Neodiprion lecontei: one gene and its partners. The protein of the gene in region 3 purifies or fractionates together with the protein of the main gene of each other region. This does not show direct contact. Links are inferred from orthologs where the notes say so. Each region holds a gene or a part of one and is shown on either strand. Other genes may lie near its edges.

What was found.
Region 1: the proteins of pre-mRNA-processing factor 19 (region 3) and beta-catenin-like protein 1 purify together in Homo sapiens (affinity purification with mass spectrometry; 4 studies listed by BioGRID and IntAct, counting the BioPlex papers as one, with this or other methods). This does not show direct contact. The link is inferred for Neodiprion lecontei from reciprocal best matches to the Homo sapiens genes PRPF19 and CTNNBL1.
Region 2: the proteins of pre-mRNA-processing factor 19 (region 3) and U4/U6 small nuclear ribonucleoprotein Prp3 fractionate together in Homo sapiens (co-fractionation; 3 studies listed by BioGRID, with this or other methods). This does not show direct contact. The link is inferred for Neodiprion lecontei from reciprocal best matches to the Homo sapiens genes PRPF19 and PRPF3.
Region 4: the proteins of pre-mRNA-processing factor 19 (region 3) and pre-mRNA-splicing factor SPF27 purify together in Homo sapiens (co-immunoprecipitation; 10 studies listed by BioGRID and IntAct, counting the BioPlex papers as one, with this or other methods). This does not show direct contact. The link is inferred for Neodiprion lecontei from reciprocal best matches to the Homo sapiens genes PRPF19 and BCAS2.

The regions. Positions count from the first base shown.
Region 1 is NC_060261.1:30,287,680-30,293,204, reverse strand, and holds beta-catenin-like protein 1, read left to right. Parts: upstream 1-1,647; 5' UTR 1,648-1,883; coding exon 1,884-1,913; intron 1,914-2,214; coding exon 2,215-2,594; intron 2,595-2,667; coding exon 2,668-2,999; intron 3,000-3,150; coding exon 3,151-3,374; intron 3,375-3,461; coding exon 3,462-3,644; intron 3,645-3,730; coding exon 3,731-3,878; intron 3,879-3,964; coding exon 3,965-4,131; intron 4,132-4,311; coding exon 4,312-4,495; exon of another isoform or gene 4,496-4,604; coding exon 4,605-4,693; 3' UTR 4,694-5,007; downstream 5,008-5,525. UniProt on the Homo sapiens protein: Component of the PRP19-CDC5L complex that forms an integral part of the spliceosome and is required for activating pre-mRNA splicing.
Region 2 is NC_060265.1:31,664,836-31,671,724, reverse strand, and holds U4/U6 small nuclear ribonucleoprotein Prp3, read right to left. Parts: upstream 4,879-6,889; 5' UTR 4,677-4,878; coding exon 4,412-4,676; intron 4,187-4,411; coding exon 3,975-4,186; intron 2,512-3,974; coding exon 1,725-2,511; intron 1,440-1,724; coding exon 1,082-1,439; intron 1,008-1,081; coding exon 608-1,007; 3' UTR 524-607; downstream 1-523. UniProt on the Homo sapiens protein: Plays a role in pre-mRNA splicing as component of the U4/U6-U5 tri-snRNP complex that is involved in spliceosome assembly, and as component of the precatalytic spliceosome (spliceosome B complex).
Region 3 is NC_060262.1:22,972,735-22,980,675, reverse strand, and holds the start of pre-mRNA-processing factor 19, read right to left. Parts: upstream 6,032-7,941; 5' UTR 5,845-6,031; coding exon 5,826-5,844; intron 5,608-5,825; coding exon 5,458-5,607; intron 5,354-5,457; coding exon 5,076-5,353; intron 4,637-5,075; coding exon 4,442-4,636; intron 4,359-4,441; coding exon 4,203-4,358; intron 2,509-4,202; coding exon 2,278-2,508; intron 2,165-2,277; coding exon 1,824-2,164; intron 1,735-1,823; coding exon 1,590-1,734; 3' UTR 1-1,589. UniProt on the Homo sapiens protein: Ubiquitin-protein ligase which is a core component of several complexes mainly involved pre-mRNA splicing and DNA repair. Required for pre-mRNA splicing as component of the spliceosome.
Region 4 is NC_060265.1:27,625,223-27,628,762, reverse strand, and holds pre-mRNA-splicing factor SPF27, read left to right. Parts: upstream 1-1,760; 5' UTR 1,761-1,860; coding exon 1,861-1,935; intron 1,936-2,027; coding exon 2,028-2,293; intron 2,294-2,431; coding exon 2,432-2,831; 3' UTR 2,832-3,008; downstream 3,009-3,540. Other genes in the region: 60S ribosomal protein L4, read right to left, coding at 1-188, 353-530, 1,388-1,390. UniProt on the Homo sapiens protein: Required for pre-mRNA splicing as component of the activated spliceosome. Component of the PRP19-CDC5L complex that forms an integral part of the spliceosome and is required for activating pre-mRNA splicing.

The DNA of each region.
Region 1 (5,525 bases), on a different chromosome or scaffold from region 3:
ATTTGTGCTTGCAGAGGGTTCCTAAATTTTTGTAGATCTTTCTTCTTCCTATCCAATTTGATAAACAAGGATGCCACGATTACGTGCATTCATGTACGTACGATACACAATTCGTAGCTACACAAATACTGTTGTACTCTACCGGGCTTGAATTATAACTGGAAATGCGATCGCAGCGATCGCAGCGGACAAGACTAGATACGTGTGCGTTTATACTAGCTGCTAGTGGCAGCTTCGCTCACATACTGGCATGTATGCAACGGTAGTGTGGTCAGGAGTGAGATATATTTATATTTATGTTTATATATATATATATATATCCGTATAATATAATGTTTTTGTCGTTGTACATTTGGTTAGGCGAAACGTATGGAAGATGAAACAACCATACCGAATATATATGTATTTTTCTCTCTCTCTCTCTCTCTCTCTCATCACTACGGCTTTAGTTTTCGCAGTTTTCGCGAGGTTGACAGAATGAGTAACTGCCTCCAGTAGTATACGCTCTAAAGTTTATATAGATTTGAGATAGCATAGCCATATATCTTTATACATAAGCCATTTTATACAACATGCGCTTACCGGCCAAATACGTCACGAATCAGTTCTAAACCTCTATTTCGTGTCAAAGAGCGGTACTAAACCACGAACACGAAAACACGAGCGTGTAGGCTCGCTCTGGCTTCCCTCTAGTTACGGATTTCTATGTCATAGAGTGAGACCATACAGAGCGGGTGACTTTGGAAGGTATATTGAGGGAATCCACTGGTGTTCGGTGGGAACTCCCACGACTATAAGAGAGCTAGTCAAGTGTTAATATAAAGTGAAAGAGATCATGAGCATTCTCAGTTCTGATTTTGATACTTACAGATACGTGAAGATAATTGTTACGTTGTGCTGTCTGGTACAGAAGAAAAGTGTTATTTAATTAAAAAGCATTGATGTATTAACATTTGAAATCTGGTAGAACTCTTCAATATTGAGCTAGATCACGAGACTGGACAGCTTAGAGCCCCCATAAACACGGTCCAACATCAACGTGCTGTACTGTACGCGTAGGTACTCAATGATGCAGTGAGCTATACCATCCTAAGCACTGCTGAGTATTTTATCAACCGTAATAATTAATTTCACAGAAGCAAATGAAGATATCAATATTTGCCATCGTAGCCGTAACAATGATCCTTATTTCGGCTGAGGTAATTAATGTTGAAGCTGGACTGGTGGGTGTTGGACTTTGCTACGCCGGCTGCGCGACGCTCGCCGTCGCATGCTTTAGTGCAGCTGGTGCCATATTCGGCGTCGCAAAAATTGCCCAGATCAATGCATCACCAGCCCTAGGAAAATGCAATTCGGCATTCAGTTCTTGCGAATCTGCCTGTGTTGGAGCATTTGGTTGATCTAGACGTGTCATCTAGATGTATCGTAGTCCGAAGGTCGTTGCTGACCAAATCATGAATGAAAGCTGCAATAAAAACTCGTAAAATATCTCACTGTTGAATGTATTTCACCGTTGTTTGCCGCCTTATCGATATTCACTTTTCACGCTCGATACCATTCACCACTTGCCGTCCTGTTCCGTTCCAAGTTCCATTTGTCCCGTTGTAACCTAACCTGATTCAACCCAATTCAACCTAGCTGATAATAATGTATGCCTATGCATAAGTATGTATACACATGGTAATACGGAGAGTACCAATATAGACTCATTGTCAGTCACTGAAGAACATAGTCTTTAATCAACACATCAGGATTTATGTACTAGGGTTATACACAATTACCATGTATGGCTTTATTCTGTTATTGGTTAATTATCACGTTTACTTATTAACATAAAATTAAGTAGCTGTGATTTAAAAATATCGAGACAAACAGTTTTCGATATGGATATCGGTGAACTATTATCATACAAGGTAATTATTCAAGTATTTTTAAAGGTTACCAAAGTTAGGTGATGTTTAGTTTTCAATCTGAACAGTAAAGTTTCTTACGCTTATTGTATTACTTTCGTTACTATACTTAAGCTACTTATTAACGATATTCACACTACAAGTGTGTGTCAGTAACATAACCTGCCAATCTCTGAGACACTGGTGGTTATCGTCGTTAGATAAGGGTGCGCTCACTGCATTACTGTCATTAGCTGATAAACCTGCAAGTTATGATGATTTCTGTTGGAGTAGGTTGGGTTTTATGTAAGGAATTAACTTTTAGCCACCCAATACACCGAAACGACCAGTACATGGAGATGAAGAAGATGAGGATAACTGGGAAAATGCTAAACGATCAAAGCGTGTGATTAAAACGCCATATCATCCTCGTCAGCGACAGATTAATGAGGGTGATCTCACTCCAGCTGTTAGCAAAGAACCTCCTACACCAATCAGAGCTGCACTTCCAGCTCCAGCCAATGATGTTGTCGAACCTCAGTTGACAGAAAAAGAAAAACAAGAGATTATCAAGTATGTAGAGACGGAAGCAGCAGAGGTTGAAGCTTTAGATGAAGCCACGCTAAAGCGAATGATTCTGTTGTTTGAAAAACGAGCTCTTCGGAATCAAGAGATGCGGGTGAAATTTCCAGATCAACCAGAAAAGTGAGTTAGCATTTACCCAATTATTTGTGAAAACAAACTACCAAATGTCATTTTACCATTCTGTCTTTTCTAGGTTCATGGAATCTGAGTTGGAGCTACATGAAACATTGCAAGAACTAAATGTAGTAGCAACAGCCCCAGATCTCTACCCGATAATGGTAGAACTTGGTGCTGTGGCTTCCATGCTAGAGCTTCTGTCTCATGAAAATACAGACATTGCTGTTGGGGTGGCTGATCTGCTGCAAGAGCTTACAGATGTTGATATTTTGCATGAAAGCCAGGAGGGTGCAGATATCCTTATAGATTCGTTGCTGGAACAGCAAGTATGTGCCCTTTTAGTGCAAAATTTAGAAAGGCTTGATGAGAGTGTAAAGGAAGAAAGCGACGGAGTTCACAATACTTTGGGTAATATTCAATAAGACAGCAAGATGATTATTACAATATGGACGTATAAAGTTGATCTAAGTTCAATTAGGACATGAAATTATTAGGGATATTTATTTTTGATCTTAGTTGTCACCTTTACCTAAAGGGTTATTCCTTAATTTTTTTCAAGCCATATTCGAAAATCTGCTCGAGTTCAGACCAGACCTCTGCGTAGATGCAGGTAAACAAGGACTCCTCCAGTGGCTACTACGAAGAATCAAGGTGAAGGCTCCATTTGATGGAAATAAGCTATATGCCAGTGAACTGCTGTCCATACTTGTTCAACAAACACCTGAGAATAGGTTGCTGCTTGGGGATTTGGATGGAATAGATGCTCTTTTACAACAACTCGCTGTAAGGGTTTTGCTGTTTTCTAACTATATTGGAATTAATCTCGATGAAAGAATAACAGATGCAAACCCGTTCACTGTAATCCTTTAGTTCTACAAGCGTCACGATCCTCGAACAGCGGAAGAACAAGAAATGATGGAGAATCTTTTCAATGTTTTGTGCTCCAGTCTAATGGCAACGATAAATCGAGAACGCTTCCTCCGTGGCGAAGGACTCCAGCTCATGAATCTAATGTTACGTGAGAAGAAAATGTCTCGTAATGGATCTCTAAAGGTACCACGTATATTGAGAAATTTATGGAAAGTTGTCACAGCCATTGACGCAGATTTCCGGTTTCTAGACAGGGGTTTATATTACAGGTACTGGACCACGCTATGAATGGGCCAGATGGAAAGGACAATTGCATGAAATTCGTAGATATACTGGGATTAAGAACAATTTTTCCATTGTTCATGAAAACACCAACTAAGAATCGAAAGAAAATACTCACAACGGAAGAGCATGAAGGTAGTTACATCATTTTTATTTACTACTGTTCCCCTCCTGCTGAACTCACCATTCTGTCTTGTTCCCACCACCATGTATTTATTCAGAGCACGTCGTTTCCATTATCGCAAGTATGCTGAGGAATTGTAAAGGAGCACAGAGACAGCGTCTGATAAGCAAATTCACAGAAAACGATTTTGAAAAAGTCGACAGACTGATGGAGCTTCATTTTAAATACCTAGAAAAAGTAGAGGAGGTCGAAAGAGATACAAAGGCAAGTCGTAACTATAACTAGCTATTGTTCACTTTTGTAATAATCTATAAATTAATATCAAAACTGACATTACTTACCTTGATTATACTAATTTTTAATCACTACAAATTTGTGTATGTGTGGGATTTAATCAGTGGATATTTTCTATTCCTGATATTATTTAAAATTTCTAATTTACAGGATGACGAAGAAGAGGAAGAATCTTACATGAGGAGACTGGACGGAGGATTATTCATTCTCCAGTTAGTAGATTACGTTTTATTGGAAGCCTGTACTGGCTGTCCACCAACAGTGAAACAACGTGTAACGAGAATTCTCGCACAAAGACGAGCATCTCTCAAAACCATAAGGCACATTATGAGAGGTAGAATAGACAGCTCATATTGTGAATTCGCACTCCCAATACCCTTTTCTCTCTTTCTACAATATGAAGGAGACAACATAGAAATCGTTTCTTTTCTTAATTTCTACAGAATATGCGGGTAATCTTGGTGATGCTGGTGACAATGAGTGGAGAGAGGCGGAACAGCAACATATTTTGCAATTGATCGACAAGTTCTGATGTCTACCTGCCTCGCGATTTTCACCCTTTACATTCATCAGAGGATTCTCACACATTACCCAATCGTGTTCACACGTAATTAGAGATGTAGAAAAATCCACTGTACATCGGCTAAAATCGAAAAATTTACAGATTATTGCAATCACGTAGTATTAATCACATTTGCATTTAATTTACATCGTTAATAAGAATGAATTGTCAGTAAACGTGATGCGCTGTTTTTGTAGGTAGTTTTGTTGCGATTCTATCAGTGTAACTCCTACTGACCAGCTTATCTTGCATCTCAATGCCAATAAAATCGAAGTGAGTCATAATATGTCTACATACATAATCTTGCCATATATTATTCTTATAATTTTTACGTCATTTTCTGTTCCCTACAGTTCGTTACTTCATCATTAATCAGGATTAAAGAATGGTATGTATAACATACTTACATTTACAGCTTTGGTAGTTCTGTATTTTTCTCGAATAAGCCACAAAAATTGAAAAGAAGCGTCGCTTCATCAGTTGACAGTCATCTGTACTATGAGTTGTAGTCAACATTTGTTGTAATGCCTTTCTGCTTTGTTCTTCACTGTTGCTGCAACTTATATTTTTTAACATTTTGAATCATTATTTGTGAGAGGATGGATTTGGTTCGATGATGAAAGAATGACAAGGCTTCTATACAATTTAATTATAATTGTCTTCAGACGGTCTGCAATTTGCTACTGCAAATCTACCGAGTGAAAAAAAAGTCGAAAATTTTCGTTAATCATATCAGACCATTTTTTAAAGTTTTAAACGAATATGATTTTATTTACATTTGAGCGGAGTACACAGTAGGTGC
Region 2 (6,889 bases), on a different chromosome or scaffold from region 3:
TTAAAGGGACTCTAAGGAACCGATAACTTCTGACTACGTCTCTCATTTCAGGACTATTTTTCCATGTCATGACTACTGAGATACTTACAGGGGCATCAAGACTATAGATATACTGACCAGCCCCCTGGCACTCAAGCCACATTCCTGTCCCCCGAATATCACCAGCCGCTCCGTGGCGCTGGCAGTATTCTGCGGCGTCTCGCTGCCATCAGCTGCTACCAGCTGCCACTACGGCTAGCTTGCGCCGGCAAGGAGTGTTAGGGCGCAAGAGGGGGGAACACCGAAATATGCCAGCGCCATGCAGTACGAACTATATGTATATGGTGATCATAAGCGCAGACAGTTCCCTATATGAAATGAATAAGAGCGCCAGGGACCTGGTACTGACAGTCAATCCAAGCGACGAAAGCAGATGTTTAACAAGTGATCCTTAGGTACATAATTATGAACAGAAGCACATCTCCTTTCAGTAATTGAATTAGTTTAACAAACTCCAACTTTACACGAAATATGTAAAAATATCTGAAATTGATTATTTATCATTTATTTCTCACCAAGAATTCTACGATTCATTGTTTGTAATATTGTTTCATTACCACACTAGGTTTTAGGTACGTGCATCATCTGTATTGTCTAATACCGCACCACTATATGCTAGATCCCAATAGTGCTCAACTTGATGTTTTTTGAAGTGTTCCCTTGCCATTTTTTCGATTGGGCACACCTTGAATTTTACCTCGCCAAAGTGTCGCTGTTTGCTTGTACCCTCCCAAACCAAAACACATCTATTAGGCACCTCGTTTCCATCATTATCCTTGACGATATCCTCTTCCCATTTTATTCGCCGTACCATCAAACGTTTATACTTGCTCAGTTGTTTAGCTCCACCCTCAACTACGACTACATTGCAGTCGCGAAACAACATCACACACCCGGTCAAGTATAATTGTTTGGCATTTGTTTCCACTTTGAACTTTTTCGATGCATTATTAACTAGATCTCGTATCCTGAAATAATTCATTTGAATATAGTTCTATGAACGTGGCCATCCCCATGTGCAGGGTATATATCAATGGATTACCTGTAAACTGCTACGTGTACTCCAAGGGTGGTATCCTCTTTCAGCTTACGAGCTTTTTTCTCGCGTCGTTGTTCCGCAGTAAGTCGACGCGCCGCGTTTGCATCCTCATGAGCCTTTAATCTCTTTGCCATCTGTTGGCGTACGTGAGCCTCAATTTTTGTGGGATCCTGTACAGCTTCTGTACCCAAGACACGCATTAAATTAGAGATCCTCAGCTTTGGCTCAGGCGGTGGTTCCAAACCCAGGCGGATCTTCTCTTGTTCCTCTTTCCATGCTTCTCGTCGGTTCTGCCGACGTAATTTTTTACGCTCCTTCTTTGTCAGAAATACTGGCATGTAGATTGGCTTGAGAGGATCAGCTGTAAGCAAACGAAAAATAGATCGAAGACAATGAAAGTTGGGGTCATATTATTATACAAGCAGGTAATTCTTGAGCAAATGAAAACTCTGCAGTTACACACATATGTAATAAATATGGTTATTGATAAATAGGGCAAGGATTTGAATTTCTCTGAAGATATTTATTCAAGGTACTGTGAGCTATAACACTCTTCCTTTGAGGATTTCAATTTTCATAATGCAACCGGAAAGCAGCTAAAAGTACTATTACAAACAATCTGATCGTCCAGAGTTTCATAACTTACTTGGAGGCCGCATTTGCGTAGGATGTTCAACCAAGTTTGTAATGGCAGAAAACTTGATTGGCATTTGTTCTTCGTCATCTGTGTAACATCCAGTAATAATAACCGAATCCCACCATTCAACATTGGGCACATCTTCGTTCATGGCCTCGGTCTTGGGGGCAATCAGTGCCAATTTTGTTGCCGAACTGATACCGGTTTTTCTGGCAATTTGTGATATTTCGTTTTGTAATTTTTCCAATTGGGCTTTCATACGTATTCTATCTGCCAACTGTTGAAACTTCCCAGGCTCGTGAAATTTTAAGGCTCTCTTGTTTCTTTGGGCTGGCTTTGCACCGATCCGACTATCAAAAAAATGCGTATCCTGCATCTCCTCTGGCCCCTTAGAATCCTGCAGCTGGGCTTTGAATTCTTCCCGTTTCTTTGCTCGAATATTGGCTTTCAGCGTAGGAACTACCTGGGTGAGTTGAACTTCTTTTCCTGTAATATCGACTGTTCTTCCAGATTCATCCAATATCAAGGGTGTTGGCTTATCAGGGACTGGCAGGCTTCCCAATAATCCCGAACTGAGTTTATTCCTAATTTGAGCCTGAAGTGCAGCAATCTTCCGAGCTTTGTCAGAATCATTTTTACTCAACAGTCCCTGATTGTACATACTCCCTACGGACGGCATGGATTCGCGAGCTCGGAACAAGGGTCTGACTGGCGGCATATCATCTTGCCGTATCGCCTTTAACGCCCGTTTGCGCTCCTCGATCTCTCTTTGAGCATTCATCATCATTTGTTTTATCTATAAAAAAAAATGTAGCAGAGGAGGAAAATGAGGAGATGAAATTCTTAACCAAGCATTGATGAATGTTAATCGAATGGTGATAAGAAAAGTCAGTAAATCAACTGAATCGATTTAATTGGATGAAAAAAAATTAAATTCCTTAGCGTAAGCGAATCTACATTTCGTGGGTACCATTTTTTTCGTTGATCCAAGTCAGCGATAATGCGACTAACTGCAAATACTTTTGCTGATTTAAACGAATGTATCAGTCGAAACAATAAGAAAATGGTTTCCATACATATGGTAAAATAAATTTATCTACAAACACAAATAGGCTAATAAATTTACCTACTTTCAAATATTTTGTTGGTTGAAAAAAAAACCACGAAACTCTAACGTTCGTGGCAGCTGGGAAAACATAAAGGTAATGAAATCGATGTTTTCTGTGTGTTGAATTAATGACATGAATAAAATATTCATGTCGAGCATTTCATTATTCAACTGTACTATGTCGTCGGCTTTTTCAGTGCAGTTAAATTGTTGAAATATTGATGAAATCCTTGCATTTTGTACATAATCTTTTCATGTCTGCTGGCAATAGCTTCATATCACTGAGATAAGTGTATTTCGTCATTTAAGTGAGCCAAAGTTAACCCGAAATCTATGCGATAGTTTGGCATAGTGGCAACAGATGTACGATTAGGTGGTATGATAAGTATTAGTGAGCAATCCCCGATTCGAATCCTGATCAAAATCATGCAGCCTTTAATCAGAAACTAAAAATGTGATTTATCCAACTTGCAATCAATTATAAGTTATTTGCAATACTGAAAAATCCACCAACTGTCGTAATTAGGCTAAAAATTTTATTTTCATTTTTGATCAGAACCTTTTCAAATGACTGCAGGACATCCTTTCATTCCATGATTCAGTCTCGTCAAACGAAATATACAGTAATTCTAATAAAACATAACCTTACTTTATAACCTGAGCATTTTTTTATCTGAATGATATGAGACTCAAGTTAACAAGTAAGTTGTTTCAATAGATGATTGAAACACTATACTGAACTGAATGTTCAGTTGCTTGTACCTAGCTGTGATTTTTCCAACCGAATATTCAGTTCCGACGACTACAATTTTTTGAAACAAACAGAACATGATCTTGCATTCATCAAACATTTGTTGGATCAAGAAGTAGGATATTCAGATTAACAAAATGATTTTTATATCAACTATAGAATAGAGATCGTTCAACTTAATATTCCGTTGACTGTACATCCTCTTACTTGTGTTAAGTAATAATAAAGTCAACAGAAGTAATTTTTATTTAGTTTGAGCAGCTTATAAATTGTTGTAACCAAATATTCGTATCGCCGTCCGTGAATGCCGCATTTAGTTGATCGAAACAATTTTTGTGATACAAAGCATTTTTGCCCTCAGTTCGGGTACTAGACAGTGGATTTATAAACTTAAATGTACCTTGTCAGCAGACAATTGTGCTTCTGTAGGTTTTTCGTTCATGAAATCGTCTTCTTTTGTTTTCGGTTTCTTTGCATCTCTGTCCTTATCCTTGTCATCGGTATGAGGACGTTTCTTACTCTTTTGGTTAGCTTTGGTGTCATCGTATATTGAAAATATTTTTTCCATCAACTTGGTAGCCTTCTTTTCTTCCAAGAGTGCCGAAAGTTTGTCTAAAACATAAATTGTCACATACCACATATACAAGTTGTAAAAAAATGTTTTGACATGCCATCAGAAGATGAATACTTATCTCTAGTAAATTGACTAAACGCTAGGTAGTAGCGTTTCATTGAAAACTTGAAATCACTGAGTGAAAAGGATAAATGAATGAGCGACACAGTTCAATGGTTATAGTTGTAGATCAGTTCGAATGTCGGTGATATAGAGAAACTTACCAGCAGTTTTACGCTTGTCGTAGCCCGAAGTGATGCAGTTTATAGCGGTAGTAACAATTGACGGCTCTCCAAAACCCAGAAACTTATGTACTGCCTTCTCTATTTGAGGCTTCATATCATCTATCTCTTTGCGGGTTAGATAAGCCATTGTAATAAGTTGTGCAACTGGAATGTCAAGAAGTAGCAAAAAGTCAATTTGAAAACTGCAAAGAATTACTCGTTGAACCCCAAAGAGAACAAGATACGGACGACGTTGTTGTATCATTCAGCCCGCACGTGAGTAACCGAAAAGTAAGGCAGGGTAAAATGAAAAATACATTCCACACAGAAAACACTTGATAAGAGTCTTGACCGTGACAAAAACTGCTTAGACCGCAGAGGTTAGATTTGTACTAAAACCAGCCATGTTTATACTATGGGTGTATTCCGAAATATACTCGCAGTACTGCAAGTACTAGCAACCGCGTTCCGAAACCGCGCGACAGCTTCCTGCCGCCAGTCTGTGACGTCTGAAATTTGTGACGTATTGACTGTGACTACTACGGTCTGGGACGTGAGGCAGTTGCAGTACTTGAGAGATGGCCGCGTCCTCGGTGTAGCGTTCCGCTTTTTCTGCAACTGGCAACTCGAAGTAAAAACGGAACGCAGTTCGCAGTTGACTGCGTGACGTCACGGTCGGCAGTACTGGAAGTACATTTTGGAATACACCCAAATCCCGAGATCGCTAGAAAGAGATGGCAGTATATCAACTGCGGGTGTGAGACTAAGATAGCACCAAAAACGGTGGAATCGAAGTTCTGGGGGCTTATTACGGTTTTTGGATTGGGTGAAAATGACGAATGTGAGCGGCTCACCCTATTTCGGTCAATCTCACCTCCTGAAAGTGCGAGTTTCCTCGCGCGAGCTGACTTGACACAAAATTTGATGTGAGAAGGTGAAATTGAAGTGAGTTACACCCGTATTCATAGTCCTTCCTTGACAGCACAAGGAGCCTTATTGGCCTCCTTCTTTCAAAGCAGATCTCGAGCTTCCTTGAGGAAAGCTTCGGCACTGCGATTGGCAGTTTCGTTTTATGTAGCCAACGCTTGCGCTTGCGCTTGGCGACTATGCACTTATGACCCGTATGACGCAGAGATCACAGCTAGTCTACAAGTTAACCTCTTTGAAGTTATACACTCTCATCAACCGACGCAAGTTGACAATGAGAGCCAAGCGGTTTAAGTTAGATTTAAATATAACCGAGTGACGCTTCGATCAGCAGTTTTACCACCATAAGCAATCACATATCCCTAAATATGTCTTCCCTCCTGGAAGGGAGAGCCAAGTTGTGACTATGAAACGAGGATGCCTCTGAGATTCAAGGAAGCCTTCATCAAGGCGTCCTTTACCCTTGAGATAAGGAGCGACTATGAATACGGGTATAAGGCTGCCGTCCCATGGTCCGGAATTTGTTCCGTCTCCACGAACCCTGAACCCAGTGACTTTTCAAGCCCCAATCGGAGGCGTTCCGGCTCCACTGATTTACGGGATGCATTTTTCCTACTGTCCCATGATACGGAAATGACACACACGGAACGATCGCCGGCAAATTGCGATTGTTCCTTTTAGCGCTGAATTTGAAATGCACTACTGTGATTGGGTGTCGGCACTTCCGGGCCTGTGCATTCCGTGTCATGGGACACCCGATGCTGACAGAGACGGAATCGTATTACTCACACAAGCATATGTATTGTTTACATGCTTACGTTACATGCTTACGTTAGGCTGCAAATAAGAGGTTATGATATGAATATTCTCGAATTATAGGTTAGAAATTGGGTGATATTAGGTCAAACGTGACGCAAGTTTTAATTATTTCCACTTCAACAACTACAACGAACAATTAAATAAATGAATTTCGTATTCTGAAGAATTTTATACTTACAGGACCTGACGAATTCAGTTTTTTCTTATGTTACGCACCCACACACACACAGATACAGAGATTTGTTTGACAGTTCGCAAATACTGGTAATGCACACGGAACGGAATGTCCGGAACACTTCTGATTGGGGCTTGAAAAGTCACTGGATTCCGAGTTCGTGAGACGGAACAAATTCTGGACCATGGGACGGCTGACGCACACTTGTGACGTCGGAACGGTACCTAGTGGAAATCTCCAGATGTTAGACACCGGAAACATTCACACGCAGCTACAGCCAGACTCACATCAGTAGTTTGGGTCACCAATTACCGATTAAGTATTGAAATACACCGGACAACGGGCATTCTGTCGCTCTAGTCGAACGAACCGAAGAGGGAGAAATTGTTGGATAAAAGATTTAATTTGGCTTACCTTTTTGAGAGTATTCTGGATGCGATGACTTGTAGATTGGTGAGAGGTTTTAGTGGAATAACTGACTTTAATATTTGGATATTTTGACTAACTTGGTTTATTTTATAAGTTTGATATTTAAAAGTCACAAACGCAGAGTTACA
Region 3 (7,941 bases):
AATTGCAATTGTAAATTCGTAGAATTTATGCCAGATGAAAATGTATGCGAGTGTTTTTGTTCAGAATTGCACATAGAATGGGGCTGTTAAGCCCTTTATTGCGTTTAAGATACGGGGACTTCGATGCATGGTGATATATACGTCAACGTCGAAATCGACCAGGACATCCCTTTAACTATACATAGGACCGGATAACGAACAAACTAAGGGCCTTTTTCCTCAGGTGGTAAAGACTAATTATAGGATCCTCTTAAAAAAATTCAAATTCAAGGGTGAGTTGTCATTTTAGTTTGAAGAAATTTTTGTTGTGACGGTCCCCAAATCTGTCTATAAACAGTAGGAATCATTATGCACGGAAAACAGTGTTATTGAGTTGCTGTATAAAATATTTATTACAACTATTTGAAACATAGGCTACATGATCCACAATTGGTGATGCATATTTCCTTTGATCAGAATTTCAGGAGTCAACATAAATTTTATTTCGATATCCTCTCCATGAATTTGCATGAACAGATGAATTATAAATTAATTATTGATGTTATAAAATGTTGCGAGTCTGCAAAATCATAATAAGTATGGAAAAAAAGTCAGTGACCACATCGATCACATCATGAAAATGCAGATTCAGAATACCAATTACATACTATTAAATGTAAAAGATTTGAAAGCTTTTCTTTATACTTTAAGACCTTTTTCATACGAGACATTTATATCGTTGATGTATCAAAATAATTGTACAAGAGTTTTATTCAAATTTCATAGTAATTTTCTGGCCCAAGGTTTGATGGATATTTTGATATGAATCTCAACTTCCAGTGCTAAACTTTTGTAAAAATACTAATTAAGAAAAATTCACAATCCAGGCATCAAAATTCAATTAAAATTAAAGTTGGAGTACCTCTTTATTTCGAACGTGAGTTTTGATTTCAATTGCAGAACTTTGTCCAAATAATTCTGGCTGTTGGAGCTAAATGAAGATTGTTCGTTTAAATTCACGCGATTTTTAAACAATAAACACTTTTTGATAAATCATTTTGAAAAGGGCCAGCCATTTAAGACATATGAATGAAAATGAATAATCATGAATGAAAGTTTGACTCCTTAATCAAAACATTAGCATCTATCGTTGATATTTTAACGGGGTTTGGAGTTACAGTGTGTTTACTCGTTCAAATGGATGGATATAACTAATTCAGTAAAATATGAAAAAATTATGAACTTCAATCTTAGATGGATGGGGAAGGCAAAACTTATCACCTTGCAGTACTTTAAGTGTAATTTGATATAAAGATGGCTAAAGACAAATATGTTACACAAAAGGCAACTTACGTATAATTTTGAATCTGCTTTAAGTGATCAGGCTCATAACTACGCATTGCCTTCCCTTGTTTCATCAGTAATACGGACAGTAAATACCAACAATATACGTGGTGAAATATGGACAATTGAATAGGTCAAAAAATATAAGAACACTTATCATATCAGTAAAAATTGATATCATCTAAAGAAATAGTTACCAACTTTGCCTTTTTGAATTGAAATCATATAATTTATTTTCACATTATTAAATAGGTACTTGTTGAGGCTTAAGGTAATCCATAGAGCTTTAATGTTCGATCCATACTGGTAGAAGCGATATACTGTGCATGCTTCCCAAATCGAACACCTGTAGCTGTTGCCGTATGATCGTTGAGTACCTTTAATTCTTGCCATTGCTTACACAAATAAATTCTAGAAAAATGAAACAAAATCGTAAATATTCATACATACTCAAATAAGTTTTTCAAAAATACATTTTTGATGTGTGCAGTCAAGCTCACCTGATGTCGGATCCAGCCACAGCAAGGTATGTACCACTTTGATCAAAACAAATATCTTTCACTTCATAAGAGTCATCTAATTGAAGTGTCTTGAAATTTTTAAGCTTTCGCAAATCCCATAGTTTGACACAAGAGTCTTCTGCGGCTGTTGCTAAGTAATATCCGTTTTCTGAGAAGCTAATAGCGGTAATTGGACCTGAATGACCGGGGAAATTAGCCACGTTTGACTGCTCTTTCAAATCCCAAATCTTGACTTGAGAATCAGCTGTTCCTGTACCAAAGATAAGCCCATCTGGATGGAATTGGGCTGTTGTCAAAGGCTGTCCAGATTGCCCAGCTACCTATGATGGAGAAGGGACCATAATGAAGTGATGGTAGAAGTCATTTTTCCATAAAATGGATTAATCATAAATTGTTAACTAAGAAACTAGCGAATGAATTTTCGTTTATTGACCTTTGTCAGTAGTCTGCCAGTACGTATGTCCGAAAAAGCCCAGTGCTGGTCCAGAGATGAGCTCAACAAATAATCTCCTGTAGGGTGAAGTGAGAGGCCAGTTACAGGTGCATCATGAGCCCTCAATAAAAGTGTCGTTTGGCTTGTTCCCACATTCCAAACACGAATTGTCGTATCAGGTGATGCTGTCATAACCACATCTTCTTCCGGATGATAAATAACTCGTGTGACCTTAAAATTTTCCAAAATACTTGAAATCAAAAGCTTAATACCATAACTGCTGAGTGCTATTGAAATGTTATACTTTCTAAATTGATACATTTCAAGTTTCAATTAATATTGATTTTTGCTACATATGTTAAACCGAAGATATAGGACAAAAAATGCTGATTTTACGTTTCAGACACCGATTTTACCTAATAAAAAATATTAACAATCGTAAGAAATGTAAATCATGGAAACTTGTAGGTTTTCAACAAAAAAACGTAACTGGTAAGATCTATAATTTAACTTCACAAATATAAATATACAATTAAGACGATTTTTGTAATGAAAGAATAGTGTGAAATCGGTTACTTAATAATTGCACGTTGCAAAAGGTGATAGAAAATTAGACATATTAGTAGAATTCTTAATGCAGAGATTATTAAAATGATGAGCATCATTTTTATTGTTTCTAGTTAAGAAAACTCTCTTCTCTCACTAAAAAATTACACGCTGCAGGAACATGACATTCAACAATCATGAATAGAAACTCATAAACAAATTGTTAATATAACATCTGGAATTTAATTGAATTTAATTGAATTCGACTCAATTTAATGTTTGTCGTTAGTCTATTTTAAACAAAATATTCAAACAGATAACAAACAATACATATTTTTCTTGATCGGCTTATTTTTGCCCTAGATTATATTTGTCTTGGGTTATTTTTGTCACAGGTTATTTTATTTTTGGGTTATTCTTCATTGGGTTGATTATTTTTGGCCTGGGTTGTATTTGTTGCAGATTATTTTTGACATGGGTAATTTTGTTGGGATACTTCCGTTCGGGTGATTCATGACAGGATAGTTTTGTATGAGTTGTTTTGCTGCAGGGCATTTAGGTCGGACGCAGAGGACAAAATAGTAATGACAACCTAAAGGTGTAATGGACTATTGTTGTATTCCACGATGAAATAAATGCTATCAATAAGTCGAATACTACAATGTCCGCAGTCAATCCTTGTTATGTTTGAGATTCTCCACCACACAAGTTCATGATCTTTCCTCTCTACTTCATAATTACGCTAATATTAAGGGAAACTGTGTTCACAGGTTGTATAGTATGGTACAGCTGGCTACACGCTTTTGCTCATAAATAAGTGACGGAAGACTAAGAGTGTCACCTTTGTAAGAATTAATACTTAAGCGGCCTTTGGTGTATTGTATTAAAGTTTTGGTAAGTTTGAAATGCTTTCTCATAAAATATTAACTCTCTTCATGGTTTCAGAAATATAAGTAACTAAATTTACATTATTGACTAATAGCTTTGATACATCAACTAATTTAATTCGCAGATAGAAAAACAGGTTCAAATTCAATACCAAACTTCTCCTAAATGGCCAAGAAGTGCATGCTTTCCAATCGCCATTTGTTTTTCTTCTCAAAGTATTACATTCGTGCCAAACTTCAGCTAAATTGGTAATTTTGAGTGAACGTACTTCCTTTGCAAGTATCTCAAAAACAAAAAAATCAAAACTCAAACTAACTTCCATGTGATCTATAGAGTAAAAGTCACTTAAAGATGTCGAGTTTCTTCCCATACAAAAGGTACGAAATTGTGATCGTGAATAGTAGTAGACAAATTTTCGACCTTACATAATAATTCATATTACACTGCGAGATTAGTTTTGAAAAGCACTGCTTATTTCTGGTGTTACTTACCTTTTTGGTGTGTCCTTTAAGAATAGCAACTACTTGTTCAGTGTCCTTATTAAAAACTGTTGCATTTTTGTCTGCGCCTCCAGTTAGAATTTTGCTGGTATCTGCCCCATGTATATCAAGTGCCAGAATTCCTGGTACACTTGCGGAATGCAATCCCTGTCAGTGAAAACATTTTCCGTAATTATATTTTGTTACAAATTACATTTCTGCTCAAAATTAAAATTAATGGGACTTCTAACCGGGTGTGAAGCAAGTGTCTGGAATGCCCTGATGCTTTCTTGTGGTAAGAGATCTTCCGGTATAGAACGTCCACGTCTTTTTCGTTCTTGAGTTAAAACAGTAGCTCGTTCTTGTAATTTTTGAATAACATCCTCAGTGATGCCAGCTTGTTCAGTTGGTTGAGCTGCCGCACCACCAGCTTCCACTGCAACAGACTATATGCGACACAGTAAGCATGATGAGTAATGGAACTTATATGTAAACTGATGGATAAGGTCGAAGTTCATAAGGTTATTGTAATGATGCAATTTTTTTTAAACTTGCTATTTTACCATATAACAATAATAACTGTCTGGCATTACGCGAATGTTACCAACTTCAGCCTTATCCTGGGTAAACCCTCTCGATACAGATATCAAGTAAAACTAGGCAGAGACAGATACACAGATATGTTATCCATGCTGAGAATTTCTGTACGCAGAATCTCATTGGGTTAATTGCAAACCAATTTGTACAACTTTTTTTACAACTTTTATCATGAATTTTATAAATCATAATGAAATCTGAGCTATGTAGGATTAAAATATGCCAGAACTTTGTTAACGACAAATAGAAATAAGGACGAAAGCAACAGACAACAGCAAAACGTTTTACCGGTTGTGGAATAACAGTTGCTTGAGTAATGCCTGCTTGTGGCTTAAGAGTGGCCAGTGCTTCTCTGGCTGCAGTAACTTCCTTGGTCAATCTAGCAATAACTCGGCAGGCTGCATCGTGCTGGTATAAAGCATGAGACAACTCCTGTCTGGCTGTCTGAAGCTGTTGTCTCTGAGTAAACGAATGTAACATTACTGCATCCCACTCATCTTGTAGAATCTTTAGAATTGCAGGAATAGATGTTGCGCTCGGTGGTTTTGGCTTTACAAGAGGCGTAGCTGAACAGAAAATTTAGAATTAATACACCTTGCAGAATAAACATTTTTCAAAATGATGCCGACATGATTATTACTCTGCATTTTCTTTGCAGTCATGATCTTACCCTTTACATCAATCAGCTGCTCAACTGCAAGATCTTTTCCATTTATAGGATCCACTCCATTTTCCGCAACATACTTTTCGATAAGCCGTTTTTCGAAAATAGAACCGGAAACCGGAGAGATTACCGGGTGCTCTGGGACCTCGTTGGAAACTGGAAATAAATTAATGGTTTTGAGTTCGGTATAATGTTGAAGAAACGCGCGAACTTTCAGGTTAGGGTTCATGAGCCGGTATAAAACAGTTACGTTTAATTTGAAAGAATGGAGGGTGAAATAAATTCAAGAAATAAGGCTGAAGCCGGGCCATTGCTACAGATTGCCTATTGGACGGAAATAATTTATAATCGTCGAGAAATAAACAAATACGTACTTGCACAAGACAGTGCCATATTTACGACATATGAATACAACGATCAGCAGTAAACAGAGTCCCCCAAGTCCTCTTCAGTTTTGTTCTTATTGTTAGCTGTACTGAATCTTTATAAAGTGAAAATATACGTGAACACCTGCACGTAAGTCCCAGAAACCAAAATCACAAACGAAATCAAATCTGTATAGAGTCTAGTGCCCACGACCCTCAACCATTGAATGTGTTTCACCGAGGTGTAACCACTCGAATATAATTTTGTGTTACTAAAGTCCCGGGGAGTTTTAGGTATAACATCCAATCGAAATGCTAGTCGGTCGCTTTCCTTCATGCTCCCAACAAACCCAACTTTAATTAAGTGTAAGAATTTTGTAAGCAGATCATTCAAAGAACCGCCTAACTACTGAAAATATCCTTAGATGTGAGATAACAACGAGAATCATTAATCCGAGTGTAAAGCCATATTATGGCATCCTCACGCTACCCAGAACTACAATATTATTATTTAAGTGCTGTAAATAACTATGACTATTATAACCTATAATTATATAATACTTCATAAGCTGAAACGTTAACACTATAAAAAAGGGTTTTGAGTTGTGACCTTCATATCCAAGAATAACATTAATCAACAAGTCATCAAGGTCAAGATAAATCGTCTTCAATACTTCATAAGGTTATCAGCATATAGGTAGAGCATAACTTGCCTATTCTAATTATATTCTCTAGTAATTTAACAGAAGTTACGCCATTCCTATAGAATCGGCATGCATAGGGGCGTATTTGATTGAATTACGCGTAATACGTAACTGATACAACAAATTGCAGATCAGACGTTCTACTGTACTTTCAAACTGTAATGCTGAACAGATTTGCAGTTGGTTTCTGTAATCTACGTCTCTTGGTATTCTACATACGAGTACGTGTAATGCGTAATATATTGAGACCATAGAGACGTATACACTGATCTCTATGATGTATGAAATAGAGCGTAAGCAACGGCGTAAGCGTCTTGTGAACGGATTTGAATCGCTTCTCTAAAGGACAGAAGATAATAATTCTCCAGCTTTCTCTGTCGCTGCACCCATAATACGAGGGGGAGGGGGGGCAGGCAGGCCGGTGCGTGCAGCTACCCCCACTCCACGGGAGGAGGGTAGAGAGAGCGCGAGCGCCGTGCGACATCAGTCGTTTCCGAGAAATCAGAGTGAAATTATTGGTCTTCGGCATCGGTTCCACGCTCAGACCACGTTCTTCAGATTGTGTCACGTTGTTCGATAAGCGTATTTCCACCATACTCATCTGTGAATAATACAGACGAGCCGCGTGTAGCCTGAAGAAAAACCGAGTCACTGACGTAAAAACATTCTGCGGACGTTGAAGGTGAATTTCGTGTTTCGCGGTTTCATTGTTTTGTGTACCTTCAGATTTCAGTGATGTGTATTTTTGCCTCTGTACGTCCAGTGTCAATTTTTTTTTTTTTAGCTGATTTTCGGCGAATGCACAGTTGCATTGTCAGCCAGTTTATTCAGTCGGTTCAAATGGATAGCTACAGCACAAAAAGTGAATGTAGAATCGAGTGCTAGTGTTATTGCGGTGCGGATTTTTGGATTATAAGAGATTAGCGAAGATGTGAATTATGTGAAAAGTGCGTCGCTTGACCAATAAACTTGAGATGCTACAAGAACTACTACGTTAAATTGCGGAGCAACCCAGATAAGAGGTAACAATACTTATTTTAATTATTGATTGATAATTCAAGGTCGCACATTTAATACCCAACTTTTGTTCTTGCGTAACATGCAATGCATAGATATAAATCTCGACAACAGTGATAATTGATTTGAAAACTGAAAAGCCAATTTACTAAATTAATTCAAGTCTTGCTTTGTTTTTCACAGATTTAAGCAAAGACTTCCGAGTAACTTCTCCATTTCTCGGCAACGCTGGTGAGTTTGCATGTGTTAGGTTATGGGTATTTCCCTGGGATTCCTCTGTCACGTGGCGTGGCGGTAACAATTGTTACACAAATCTTCGATTTCTTAGCTGCATGGTTAGGCTCATTCACGATCGCAACGTGCTTGACTTTCAGTCGGATCATTTGTTTTTCGCAATGCAATTT
Region 4 (3,540 bases), on a different chromosome or scaffold from region 3:
ACGTTTCTGATTCACATTAATGCGTCGGTGCCAGCGGCGCCATGGCTTGGTTGGCGCAAACATGCGACCTCCACGACACATGTTACCAAAAGCACCCTGACCGGAACGGTGTGTACCTCCTCCACGAACACGTGGGATACGTGCAACAGCACGACCGGTACCCCATGACTCGGCGGAAGTTTGATGTCCTGTGGTACAAGAACAATAATATATGGAATTTTTGGTGAAACGTGAATGCAGTTTAATGATAATAAAAATTCAATCACTTCCAATGGATAATATATGTGCAAAATAAAGATCTTTCGATATCTCGACATTTTTTTTCAAATGTATAATTGGTTGAACAACTCACCAGCCTCTTTAGATACACAATACGGCTGACGACTGTTTTTTGACATCTGCTGGTGTACAAAGTTCACCACATCGGGACGGATGGGTGCTTTGAACACTGAAGGAAGAGAGATCGTCTCTCCGCTAGGTTCATTTTTCTCACTATACACAGTAATAAGGGGACGCGCTGATGATAACGACTGAAATATAGAAAAGAACACATGTTTCAGATTACACATGATTTTAGCTCTATGTTAAATGTTAATAATCCTCTAAGTGACTATTATCAAAAAGTAACAAAGCCACCAGCTACCAAGTCTCAGAGATATTTAAGTGACTGAAATGTTAATTTCATGTTAGGTGAGCAAACAAGATGAATTGAACAGCATTGAATTTATGTACATTATCCGATACCTCTTCAACAAAATCGGCATTATAATCATCGATGAGTTGACACAGGGTTTACACTCAAATGTAACAACAACGTACTGCAGTATTGAGAAATATATGAAGACGTTAGACGCAGGTTGACTTCACTCATTGTAAGCAAAATTGATGGATTTGATAGGAAGTACGAAAACCCGATAATGAGATAAGAGAATCTGCGTATTCGGATTTCGATCTATTTCCGTAGTTAGGTGATTTTAATAACTCAGAGAGTGAACCGCGACGCCGTGGGCGATTGGAGTTATAAGAATGCGACATGTCGGGTGAATTATCCGGTGAAATCTAATGACATGCACATGGCGGCGATGGCGGCGGCGGTGAACGAGGGGGAAGTTTCTAACCTAAGAGAAGATGCTCTAATAGTACGAATTCGAGACATAATAACGAATATTTGGGTAGCACTGCACACTCTGTTAAAATCGGACGACGCTTGATGCGTAACGATGAAATTAGCCGCAACATCGAAGGGATTCTACACGTGGTCGACACACACGGCACTACATTACGACTGATATCTTTGATTTCCCTTGCAAATAAGGATGTGATTGAAACTGGTAATCAACTAGCAGGAACCGTACGCGAAATATAATTTAGATTTTGAGTTTCTTACCATCTTGACGAGTTTACAACTTTCAATTCATTAGCAAAACACCAACCAGGCTGCTCGCACGCCTCGCCTGGTCCTAAAGGAAGAAGAAGGAGGGCGGAAGCTGATGAACTCCATGCTAGGCATGCGCCAAAGTTCGACTCGCAATGTTGACTACCCCGCGATTATTCAAATTCAGAGTAAAGTCGCACGGAAAGAGGAAATAAAAAAAATTGGGATTGCATAACGATTTCGTCTAGTTAGTGCGATCCTCGGCGAATAATTTTGTACTCAGAATTTGTAGATATTACAATAAACAACCGATTTGGTCGAGTCTCGTGTTGGAAACGCAGCGATTCACTGGGCACGGGGTTCGCACGAGTCTCGAAACGGATTCCGGCCAATGAACGTCAACACGTCACTGACATTTGTTTAGTTCGATCGCGTTTGATTTCGGTTAGCCTAAAAAATACGCAAGTATAGTGACGGTAGGAATAATGGCAGGCGAGGTAGTTGTGGACGCTTTGCCGTATATAGATCAAGGATATGACGAACCCGGAGTTAGAGAAGCGGTGAGAGATGATATTCCTGACCGTATAATCGTGTGAATCATTTGTTTATGTAATTTTCACTTTTGAGGTTACGTTTCAACGTTGTATTTCAGGCTTTGGCGATGGTCGAGGAAGAAACTCGCCGTTACAGACCGACAAAAAATTACTTGGAACACCTGCCGCCTCTCAATCTGAATGCCTTTGAAACAACTGTGATCAAACACGAATTTGAGAGGCTCCAATCTCGCCTTCCAATGGAAGTACTTAGCATGAAGCGGTACGAACTCCCACCACCACCTCCTGGAAAAATGAATGATATAGCTGCTTGGAACGAGAGTGTGGAAAATAGCATGGCTCAGCTCGAACATCAGGCTACACGGTGAATTATTTACTTACACGCAATTGGGAAGACTTGAAATAAACCCTTGTATCGTAGTTGTTCATCACTGAAATATTTCAGACATCATTGCACATTCCATTATTGCAAAATAAAAATAAACATTTCTTACTTTTATAGAATCTGTAATTTGGAGCTGATGATGGATTACGGCTGTGAGGCCTGGAAGTGTTACTTGGAAGTTCTGATGCAGCTGGTTTCGCAGGCGCAGAAACAGCTTCAGGGCTTGAGAAAAACGATCCAGGAAGTAAATTGGCAGAGGAAATCGATGCAAACCCAAGGTGGCGAGAAGTTGAGAGCTTTGGAGGCTCAATGGGTGGGATTGGTGTCTAAAAATTATGAAATTGAACAAGCCTGTGTTCACCTTGAGGAGGAGATACACCGGTATAAATATTTAAAACACACTGGTGGAGAGGCTGGCGATGTCCCCGGGGAAGAACAAGAACCAGATATTCCAGGAGACAACGCCACTGAGACAACGGCCATGGAACCTACACCAGAAGAACCTCGACCTGCGTGACAAAACGACAACTAATGATTGTGGTTAAAATGTAAAACAATTTGATGTGTAAGCAAGATGCTAATTGTAACTGACGAATTTTATAAATTTCGATTCTGATACATTCTAGTGATTGTGAATCAGAGTATTTATTATACGTAACTTTTTCAGAATAAAGGTATGATCGAATTTCAAAAATTTAGTTTACCCACATTCTATTAATATTTAATCCAGATGCTTCGTAAAATATTTCCCAGTAGATACGAGCACTAAACTTGTTAATGGAAATAAATTTCTTATGAAAAATGTTGCTATTGTGTTTGGACGATTTTGTACCGGAAGTTTTTAGATACATAGGACAGACTTATTATAAAGCACGTTTTATTTAACCGTAGTCTACATTTATCACGCTTCGAGTATGCCTACAATATACATATTTACAAATCAAAATGACTAACTAATATTTTGTAATTATTTAGTAATAGTGTATATGTATACATTTATATATACTATGTATATGAGAGAATGAGAAGTTGTTTCGTGATAAAAAACATTTTTTGATTTGCAACATAGTCACAATTATCCACAGATCTATCATATGTTTAAATTACGCAAGTATCTACGCAAGTACGCACAGTATGCAATTTTGTATTTTATTATCGACAACGATAATTAGTCGTCATAATTAACTAATAAATACGTTACGTCAAAATAATATATAATAATTACA